Linked DNA regions of Nothobranchius furzeri. The protein of the gene in region 2 purifies or fractionates together with the protein of the main gene of each other region. This does not show direct contact. Links are inferred from orthologs where the notes say so. Each region holds a gene or a part of one and is shown on either strand. Other genes may lie near its edges. The genes, in order: c2cd5 and fibpa.

Region 1 (4,491 bases), on a different chromosome or scaffold from region 2:
ACTACAAATCTGCAGCCAAGTTGACAAATAAAGAAGAAATTTCTCATTTTAAGCGGAAGATGCGATATTACTGATTTCCCACCTCGTTAGAAACTAAATTCATTTACTACACAATGTTTAGTTGAAAGCTTTCATCCCTGATTCATTTCTTTTCAACATAGATGCAAATCAGAAGCTACCAAGCACTCAGCTGCAGTGGTGCCAACAATACTAGGAGATTTCACCAATCGGCTACAAAGGGTTTAGAAGCAGAGCAAGAGCACATGCAACATATACATTACAGCAAAACGCAATAAAACATGCAGAGGCAGAGCAGTAAGTCGTGCACAAGTGGTTAAAAGGAGCAGAGCGATGGATCTGTGTGTGCTGTATGTGTGTGTCTCAGGGTATGTAATGTGTTGTTAGTTTCATGCTGCAATACACAACAGACATAAACTAATAAAACTGTACTGAGACACACACAGGAATAATGGCTGGATTAAAACAGATTAACAGTAGACCTCATGTGCACGCTCTCCGTCTCATGCACACACCGCTCTTCTGCATTCCCACAAACTTTACTTGCACATTAAAAAGGTCATGTTCATGCTCATGTTTTTGGTTCATACTCACTCCTTTCCATCTTTAGGAGAATTGCAGGCGTTGGAAGGAGGGGCCGTGCTCGGGTGTGGACAGGTAATCGAGGCGCTCCCAGAGCTGAATTTTTCCAAAGTGCAGGCGGTACCTATGGCCCGGACCACCAGACCCGACTCTCCCTCCAGATCGAAACATTGCAAGTAACCCACCACAGCGTTCCCACCCATCTCCAAGACCTTAAGCCCTATTTTCCTCTGTAGTTCTCCTAAACAAAGAGTAAGAAGAGTGATGTTAACATGAGACATTATTCCAGATCCAAGGGAAAAACATAGAATTTATTTTTTTTACCAGACATCAGAGAAATGAGTCTCTGGCGAGCTTCATTGGATGCACGAGGGGTTCTTATACGGTCTATCCACTGGTACTCTGGGTCTTCATTCACCACCAGTTCCTCTACAAACCCATGCACCATCACTGCCCGATAGCTGTATGGAATTGATGTAGCTGCAAGTGAAATTGAGACAATAAGATAATAAAAGATATTTAAGACACTTTGTTAATAGCCACTTCCTGGTTTACAGACGTAATGAAGGCCCTGAAAAAACATTCATCCTTACCAAGTATGAAAATTATGTTTTTACTTGATGCACTTGAGATCGTGCCAAAAATCTTAGTGTCTTAATATTTCACATTACCTGTGAATTGCTTTGTATGCAACTGCAACATTTAAGGCTAATTAGGGTGCACTGAGAAGTAAAAGTCAGATCAGACATACTGCAGAAGAATTTGACCCCGCATGATGATTGTCTGAAGCGGTTCAGATCGTTGAAGAGCTCCACTTTTACGAGGACATTTATCTCTCCGCGGATACCTGATGGAAAGCAAAGTAAGTCATGTCAATAAGAAATAAAAACAGATGAAGGATTTTATCGTAATGATGCAAGGTGAATCTTGTACCATGGATGGTATCGTAGATAGGGAACCAGCCAGAGATGATAGAGGCCGCTTCAGTACACAGTAAAGGATCGATGTCAATATAAACTTTTCCTATGGCATCGTTGGCGCTGTAAGTATCGTGGTCCAATACTGTGATCTGCAAAGGCTCATCCTGCAAGTCTTCATCATCAACCTAGACAGAAATAAATGATAAGTTAGACGAAAATTTGTATACGTTTAATAGCCTAGTAAATAAAACAGCCACTTCTTTAGCTTAAAAAGGAGTAAAAGTAATTTTACCTCAAATTTGAACCATTCAGAGTTCCACTGTGGATTAAGGGATTTAGGACAAACATCTGTTTTGAAGGTTGTGTTTCCAAACTTCACCTGAAAAGAAACAGCCTTTGTATGTAGAATGATACATAAACAGTCACAGTAAACTAGCTTTTGTAATCACTCTGAGTTGCTATGTGCTAATTAGTCAAGAGTTGATTACTCTACTTACCTTAGACACCACACACTGCTATCCAAATCATGTCTTTTAAAGAATATTTTGTTTATTTCACCAAAAACCAGCAAAACATTTTCATTCAACTCTTTCAGGTCCCAAAATAGCTTACCTTCAATCCAAAAACTGGAAACATCATGAAACTAAATCTGTCTAAAGTTTAGGACACCCGTTTTTCTGATTATCATATTTGTTATCAACTCAGTGTTGTTAAATGATCCCCTTACCTCTACAAAGGCATCCGTTAGGTCACTGGCTCTGTCCATGACAGGCAAGTGGCGCCCTGCCACAATTTTGGCCTTCAGTTTTCCAGGCATGATTTAAGTTGATCTGCAAAAATATGTAAACAAACAGAGCAGTTAGACCTGTCGCTCTCCAAGTAGCGTAGCACTGCCATCATTACGCGACAGCTAGGGGAGTGTGTGGAGAGGGACAGCCCCATACTCAATTTAAAAGCGCATTCATAATACATAAACAACCTTTCATCAATAAAGCTTCGTGTCGTACCTTTCATCAATAAAGCTTCGTGTCGTAACTTAAATGGTTTATAACGTCAGACGTAATATAGTGAAATGCCATTATGAACACGACAGCGCCCATCAGTTGGCACGATTGTGTTAGCTTTAAGCTAACGCATGAAAGCCACTTAACGGCATTGCTGACACTGGATCTCGTTAGCTTTAGTTACCTGATCGGCCATGTTTGTACGAACATCCATGCAGACCAGACTCCTCCTACAAAAATAAGCTTCTTGCCCCTATTTTAAAGACTATCGTTCTTACCGGTGCTATAATATGGTCAGACAGCTGTCAGAGCGGTAGCAGTCCTTTCACATCGTTGTTGACGGTCCACCGATCGCCTGACCTCACTGTCTTTCCCATAACACGACACGTTATTACCAGCTTAGATATCACCTGCTCAAATCATAACAATATAAAGAATATTATTTGCTTACAAGTTACTATACAAACCATTAAAATGTTGCATAACTCCTGGTTTAAAGAGTAAATGTAAAAGCTAGCTTGTTGATAACTGTTAATGATGAATGAATTTTCAGTGGTATAGCGTGATACCTTCATGAACATCCCGTAACGTCGTACTTTAGACTACAACGTCACCCTGCTGCCAGAAACATAAACAAAAATGTAAAGATTGAACATCTTCCCTTATTCTTACTATGTGGTTTACTGTGCATATAGATTCACGTATTATTTTATTGGTTCTTCTACGTTATTTATATGTGAGTAGTATTTAAATTATTAAAAACTACAGTTCAGTAAATGCAGCAATGAAGACATGCGCCACCTCCTACATGTTCGGGTTGAAACTTGTCATGTGATTTTTACATTCCCTTGGTAGCTAGCTACGTCTCTTTCATTCATTCTTTCTTTCTTTCTTTCTTTCTTTCTTTCTTTCTTTCTTTCTTTCTTTCTTTCTTTCTTTACTATTTTAGATAAGTTTAAAATAAAGCTATTAATCAAATAAGGCGTTGACTATGTCAGAAACGTTGCCACTGGCTCCTCTTCTTACTTAAAATAATAAATACTCGGTAAACCTAAAGAGTTACTGTTCCACTCACAAAAAATGTCTGGAAACATACCTTGCAGTAGTCGCGTCAAAGTGTTCTCCCATTGGGCATTTTAGTGATGCAAAAAATATGAAATATAAATTGTTCATATAAATTTAAATGAACTACGACTAATAAAAACATATAGTTAAGCTTGCATTATAAAAGCCAAGATTTAATCAAACATGAGAAAAAGTCAATTAAAATAAGTGGGTTCAAACTAAACAGCCAAATAAACAGATCATTTCTTTGGGATCTGCAAACATTAGTGGCCACCAATCTAACCCTAACAAATGGCTCCATTTTAAATGACTGGTGCAGATGTGACATGATTGCTCTGTTTCTTTCCTGTCAAAAGGCAAGATGGTGCATGATAAATCAAAACCAACATACACAGAATGACCTTAGATTGACCTAAGAGTTCTCTGAATTTCAGCATTGGTTTTACTGAAAACTAGAAAAAAGATAATCTAATCATCAAATCTGAACTTGCAAACATCACACTAAAGTTCCTGGAAAATGGATGACAATAAGAGTGTAATGTACCGATGTCCCTATTGTGACACTTTCATAGATTACACTTTCCAAACTAAAGTTTTATTTTATTTATTTATTTTTTGTTTTTGGTTTAGGTTAATTTCAGTTATCGCTAACCTTTACTCCCGAGATTTTGCCTCGGCAACTGCCACTGCTGCACCCCGCTTGGCTATCCGGTACCTGTCTGCTGCCTCCGGAGACCCACAGACCAGCCACGCCCTGTAGGCCTCCTTCTTCAGCCTGACGGCTCCCCGAACCTCTGGTGTCCACCAGCGGGTACGGGGTTGCCACCACGACTGGCACCGGCCATCTTACGACCACAGCTAGCAACAGCCGCCTCGACAATCGCAGAGTGGAACAAGGCCCA
Region 2 (4,574 bases):
CCTGTCTTCACATCTGTTGAACTTTACCCGGTTAACCAGCAGATCAAATGCTATAGGTCAAACGCATTTTAGTCCTTGCACCCGAATTATGCATGTGCTAAGCTAGACTAAAAAACTTCCACAAATAAATTAATTTAATTGTTTTAAATCTTGTTGGGGACTTTAAGATGCTAAAATGTCTCATGAAAAAATTGTTCTAGAAAGAAATAATGTCCATTTCAGATATGTAGACTGGGATGGATCTACTGGGGTGGCCTAGGGTGGCCTAGGGTGGCAGATGTTAGGGTGCTAGCACGGCTGCTACCACAGCAAATTCATTGAACAGTTGTGGCAAATCAGACATACGAATGTTATTGTCACTTGTCCGATTGAACCGATTATAACGTAAGCTGATAAAATTATGTCACAAGACAAAACAAATACGGCTTTGTAAATACTGATGATTTCCTTGGAAAGCATGTGTTTCTGATTCTACAATAAAACTAGCATTCTGTTCCTCGCTGCAGTGAAATGTTTCTCTCCATGCATACTCTTTTGGCGACACACACACACACACACACACACACACACACACACACACACACACACACACACACACACACACACACACACACACACACACACACACACACACACACAATTGTGTGCGTCTATGTGTATCTCCTTAAAAGAGTATGGTATTTTATGCCATATCTTCCCACCCTTAAAGCATTTCTAGGTCCAGCCCTGTATGTACAGGATAGGCTTGTGAGAAAGCTGAATGCCCAATTCACATAAATGGCACATGTGACATAATTTGTCCTTGGCAGAATCATATTTGTGATATTTGAAATTTTGACTGTGGATGGAAAAATCTCTTCATATCTGCAAAGCAAATTTGTATTTATTAAGAAAGAAACAAATTAATGGAACTGAGGTGTCCACAAGTGGATTGTCTGCTATACACTTTTAGCATTTGGAGTTGAACATTTAGAGTTGAATAAGTAATGGGCATCCATTATCTTTATCTATCTTTTTTTATGGAAACCTATCTAATTTAAAAGTTATCTTTAATCTTATGAATGAGTTTTAATCAATAGTGGTTAAATAAAGTTTAAATAAAAACTTTAATAAAATTGTAATATCCTAACAAATTATCCAAATGACGTAAATAAAAACACTATATTTGAAAACATTACTATAATTCAAATAAAATGTGTGCTTTCTCCTCTATATTAATGTCGATTTTTTTAAACAAACTTTATTTGTTTTTGTCACAAATACATAGTCACACTAACAAACATACATCAAATATACACACGAACAGACATCAGCTCATTAATCGACAAGAGGCACTTAACAGATAATACAACCTTCCAAAAGGTACGTTTTTTGGATTGTTTTTGTTATACAGGGTCAATCAGAAATAAACATTGAAGACTTATTAAAGCTATATTAATGTCGATGGCTTTCTCGCATTTGTTCGTGTGACGTCACCGACCGTACCGGAAGTGGCTGCTAATGTTGTTGTCACTGGCTGCGGATCCCTAAAAACATGGACGCAACGGTTTAACAGCTATTTACGCTTAAAAAAAAACCGGAAAGTTTGAGTGTGCTCCAATTTCCAGATTATATCACCATAATAATTTGGTCTTAATTAGTCATTTTGTTATCTGGTGGTTAGTTTTGTGCTCACCGACGGCTGCTAACGGTTCGGCATGCTAACAGAGGTTTCGAGTTTAGCTAGTAATTCAGGCGACAGGAAACAGTTTAAACTCAATAACTGAATGGATGAATCTGCTTAAAAACACACATTCATTGACGCCAGAAAATCGGTTTGGACGACAGTAAAAACAAGGTATATTCAGTCATTTATTCAGTTTCGGGCTCCTTGAAGTTAATCCGAGAGTTTTGCAGGTAAATTATTTGAGCCAAATTTTAACAGATTATTTTTTGTTTCGTACAGATGGCAGTAGAGCTTGATGTGTTCGTGGGTAACACCACTATTATGGATGAGGAGGTCTACCAGCTCTGGTTGGACGGATACACAGGTAGGAATGAGGCTGCATGTTAATATTATTGTTATAACATGAACAATCAGCCCTGATGTATTTAAGAAGGTTTTTATAAAGATCAAAAGGTCTACAGGCCATTATAGTTATATTATTGCATGTTAACTGATGGGTGATTAAAATCTAATTATGTAATTAAAAACAATGACACAGCTCTGTATAAAACCAAAACTGGGGCTTTTCGTCTGAATTAGTTCATACATGTAGATTAAGTGATCTGCTAGCAGAATAAAACAACAAAACAAAACTTTTCAAACAGCTTCAAATATTGAATTTACAATGGTTGAGATTAATGCATCAAAGATAAACAAAACTTGAAATGATTAGTTGCAACATACGGTATTCATTTTTGGGTAAACAAAGCACTTTCATTAGTCACATCACAGGAACCAGAAAACGGGAAGGCTAAGTGTGGGAAATAAATGGAGCAAAAACACAAAGTTGCCCATAAGTATTTGCTTAAATATCGCAACAAGTACCTCTAAACCTGGCACATCACTAGCAACACCTGAAGTGCAAAGATGCAGAAAATGCCAAGACCAGATCACTGGCTATGTTTACATTCACAGTAACACTTTGATATTAACCCTAGATAGAAAGACCAAAGTGTCAATAAAGCAATGTAATCACGTTACTGCATCGTGCAAGAACATTTTCTTCTACTTCCATAGTTCTCAGATCAAGTTATTTTACACAAAACTGGCTTCTTTTTGTTGAACTTGTTGCTTTCTGTCACACATTTTGGCATCACCAACCCCAGAAGACAGCTTGTGCAGAGCAGGATGAGCTAAAAAGTAATGCTCTGGTATTTTACCGGATATGGGTGTAATTAGCTGTAACAATGAAAAGGAAACACCAGAGTACTACATTGTAATGGGATGGGATTGGAATATTCTACGTATGACTTCTGTTAACAGCATAGTTGTACAACTGATATTCTGATCGGAGTTTGGGATCTATTCCAACAGTGAACGATGCAGTGAGGGCGCGTATGGAGGGAGGAGTACTGGATGAGTTTGATGCAACTGCAGATGTTCTGCTCAGTGATACCATGGACCAGTACAGGACTTTCCAGATGTGTGAGCGTCTTCTGCACAGTCCAGCCAAACTTGCAAACCAACTGCTGTTCCAGATTCCCCCTCATCGGCAAACCATGCTCATCGAGAGGTGAAGCTTGTTTAGTTATCTGTTTTAAGCCATTCTTGTGTTAAAATCAGTCCCTCTACCCTCTTTTTCCCAGTTTAAATTCAATTTAAAATTATTGTTTAAATTAAAAATCATTTTATTATTATTAAATTATTTGTGGGTCTCTGTTAAGATATTATGCCTTTGATGATGTATTTGTACGTGAAGTCCTGGGAAAGAAACTCTCCAAAGGAACAAAGAAAGACTTGGATGATATCAGTGCCAAGACAGGTGTGACTCTGAAAAGCTGCAGACGACAGGTAAAGAACACCACCAGCTTACACAGTGTTGCCTTTACAGCAAGTCTCTTTTGTTAGCCTAGTGTTGTGTTTGGAATGTTAAAAAAAATCATCATGCTGCAGTTTTTTTTTTGTTTAGTTTTCCATGACCTTTTCTCCAGGCTGAGGTACGGTTTATGAGTTGTGGTGGGCTTGTGGTTTGGAGAGAAAATAGTTGTTTTAGTTATTATCTAGCATCATGTGTTATGTTTCAGTTTGACAACTTCAAAAGAATTTTCAAAGTTGTGGAAGAGCTGAAGGGACCCCTGGTGGAGAACATACGTCAACATTTTCTTCTGTCTGACAAACTTGCAAGGTAACCAGTCCTCCTACAAATACTCTAACCCTTTTTTTTACTTATTTAGCTTTTGTTTCAGAATGACTGCATCGGTTTAATTCCTTTTGTTCAAAATCAAAGAACATTTTCCTCCTAAAGTCAAATATTCAGGGTATTTAATCCCATGGAAACAACAGCATGATTGTCTTGTATTTCCCATTGCATCCTGCTTACATTTAGCTTGTTTCAGGGATTATGCTGCCATTGTTTTCTTTGCCAACAACCGCTTTGAGACGGGGAAAAAGAAGCTGCAGTACATCACTTTCCAGGACTTTGCTTTCTGCGCCGGCCAACTTATCAACAACTGGACCGTTGGAGCTGTTGGTGAGGGATTATGGTTGCTTCCTTTGGCCAGTTCTTTGACATAAGATATAAGCCATGTGGATCATTTTTGTCAGTTATGTAATTTATCAAATGTCACAGCGCAATGTTAAACCAATATGTCCTAGAAACACTGTTATTGAAAATAAATGTTGATGCTGTGTAAAACTATGTAAAAATGGCTAAAAATAGACACCTGAGAACAAGCTGTTCATTTTTTTTGGTTTTTCTTTTCAATGAGACTCACTGACCAGCAGAGGTCCTTCACGTGTTACACTTCTTTGTTTGGACTTATGATTCGAATTTTAATACCAGTAAAACAAAAAGCCCCATATAGTTAGATGATGACATCACACTTATTATAATTATTTAAATAATTTTAAAAGTTTTTTTTATTTTAAT

The links.
Region 1: the proteins of fibpa (region 2) and c2cd5 purify together in Homo sapiens (affinity purification with mass spectrometry; 3 studies listed by BioGRID and IntAct, counting the BioPlex papers as one, with this or other methods). This does not show direct contact. The link is inferred for Nothobranchius furzeri from reciprocal best matches to the Homo sapiens genes FIBP and C2CD5.

What each region holds. Positions count from the first base shown.
Region 1 is NC_091744.1:70,654,757-70,659,247, reverse strand, and holds the start of c2cd5 (C2 domain-containing protein 5), read right to left. Parts: upstream 3,110-4,491; 5' UTR 2,992-3,109; intron 2,939-2,991; exon of another isoform or gene 2,889-2,938; 5' UTR 2,803-2,888; exon of another isoform or gene 2,528-2,802; intron 2,351-2,527; 5' UTR 2,338-2,350; coding exon 2,248-2,337; intron 1,900-2,247; coding exon 1,813-1,899; intron 1,706-1,812; coding exon 1,534-1,705; intron 1,448-1,533; coding exon 1,352-1,447; intron 1,081-1,351; coding exon 925-1,080; intron 842-924; coding exon 613-841; intron 1-612. UniProt on the Homo sapiens protein: Required for insulin-stimulated glucose transport and glucose transporter SLC2A4/GLUT4 translocation from intracellular glucose storage vesicle (GSV) to the plasma membrane (PM) in adipocytes.
Region 2 is NC_091741.1:84,649,674-84,654,247, reverse strand, and holds the start of fibpa (fibroblast growth factor (acidic) intracellular binding protein a), read left to right. Parts: upstream 1-1,490; 5' UTR 1,491-1,837; intron 1,838-1,945; coding exon 1,946-2,030; intron 2,031-3,019; coding exon 3,020-3,218; intron 3,219-3,369; coding exon 3,370-3,496; intron 3,497-3,729; coding exon 3,730-3,830; intron 3,831-4,041; coding exon 4,042-4,175; intron 4,176-4,574. UniProt on the Homo sapiens protein: May be involved in mitogenic function of FGF1. May mediate with IER2 FGF-signaling in the establishment of laterality in the embryo.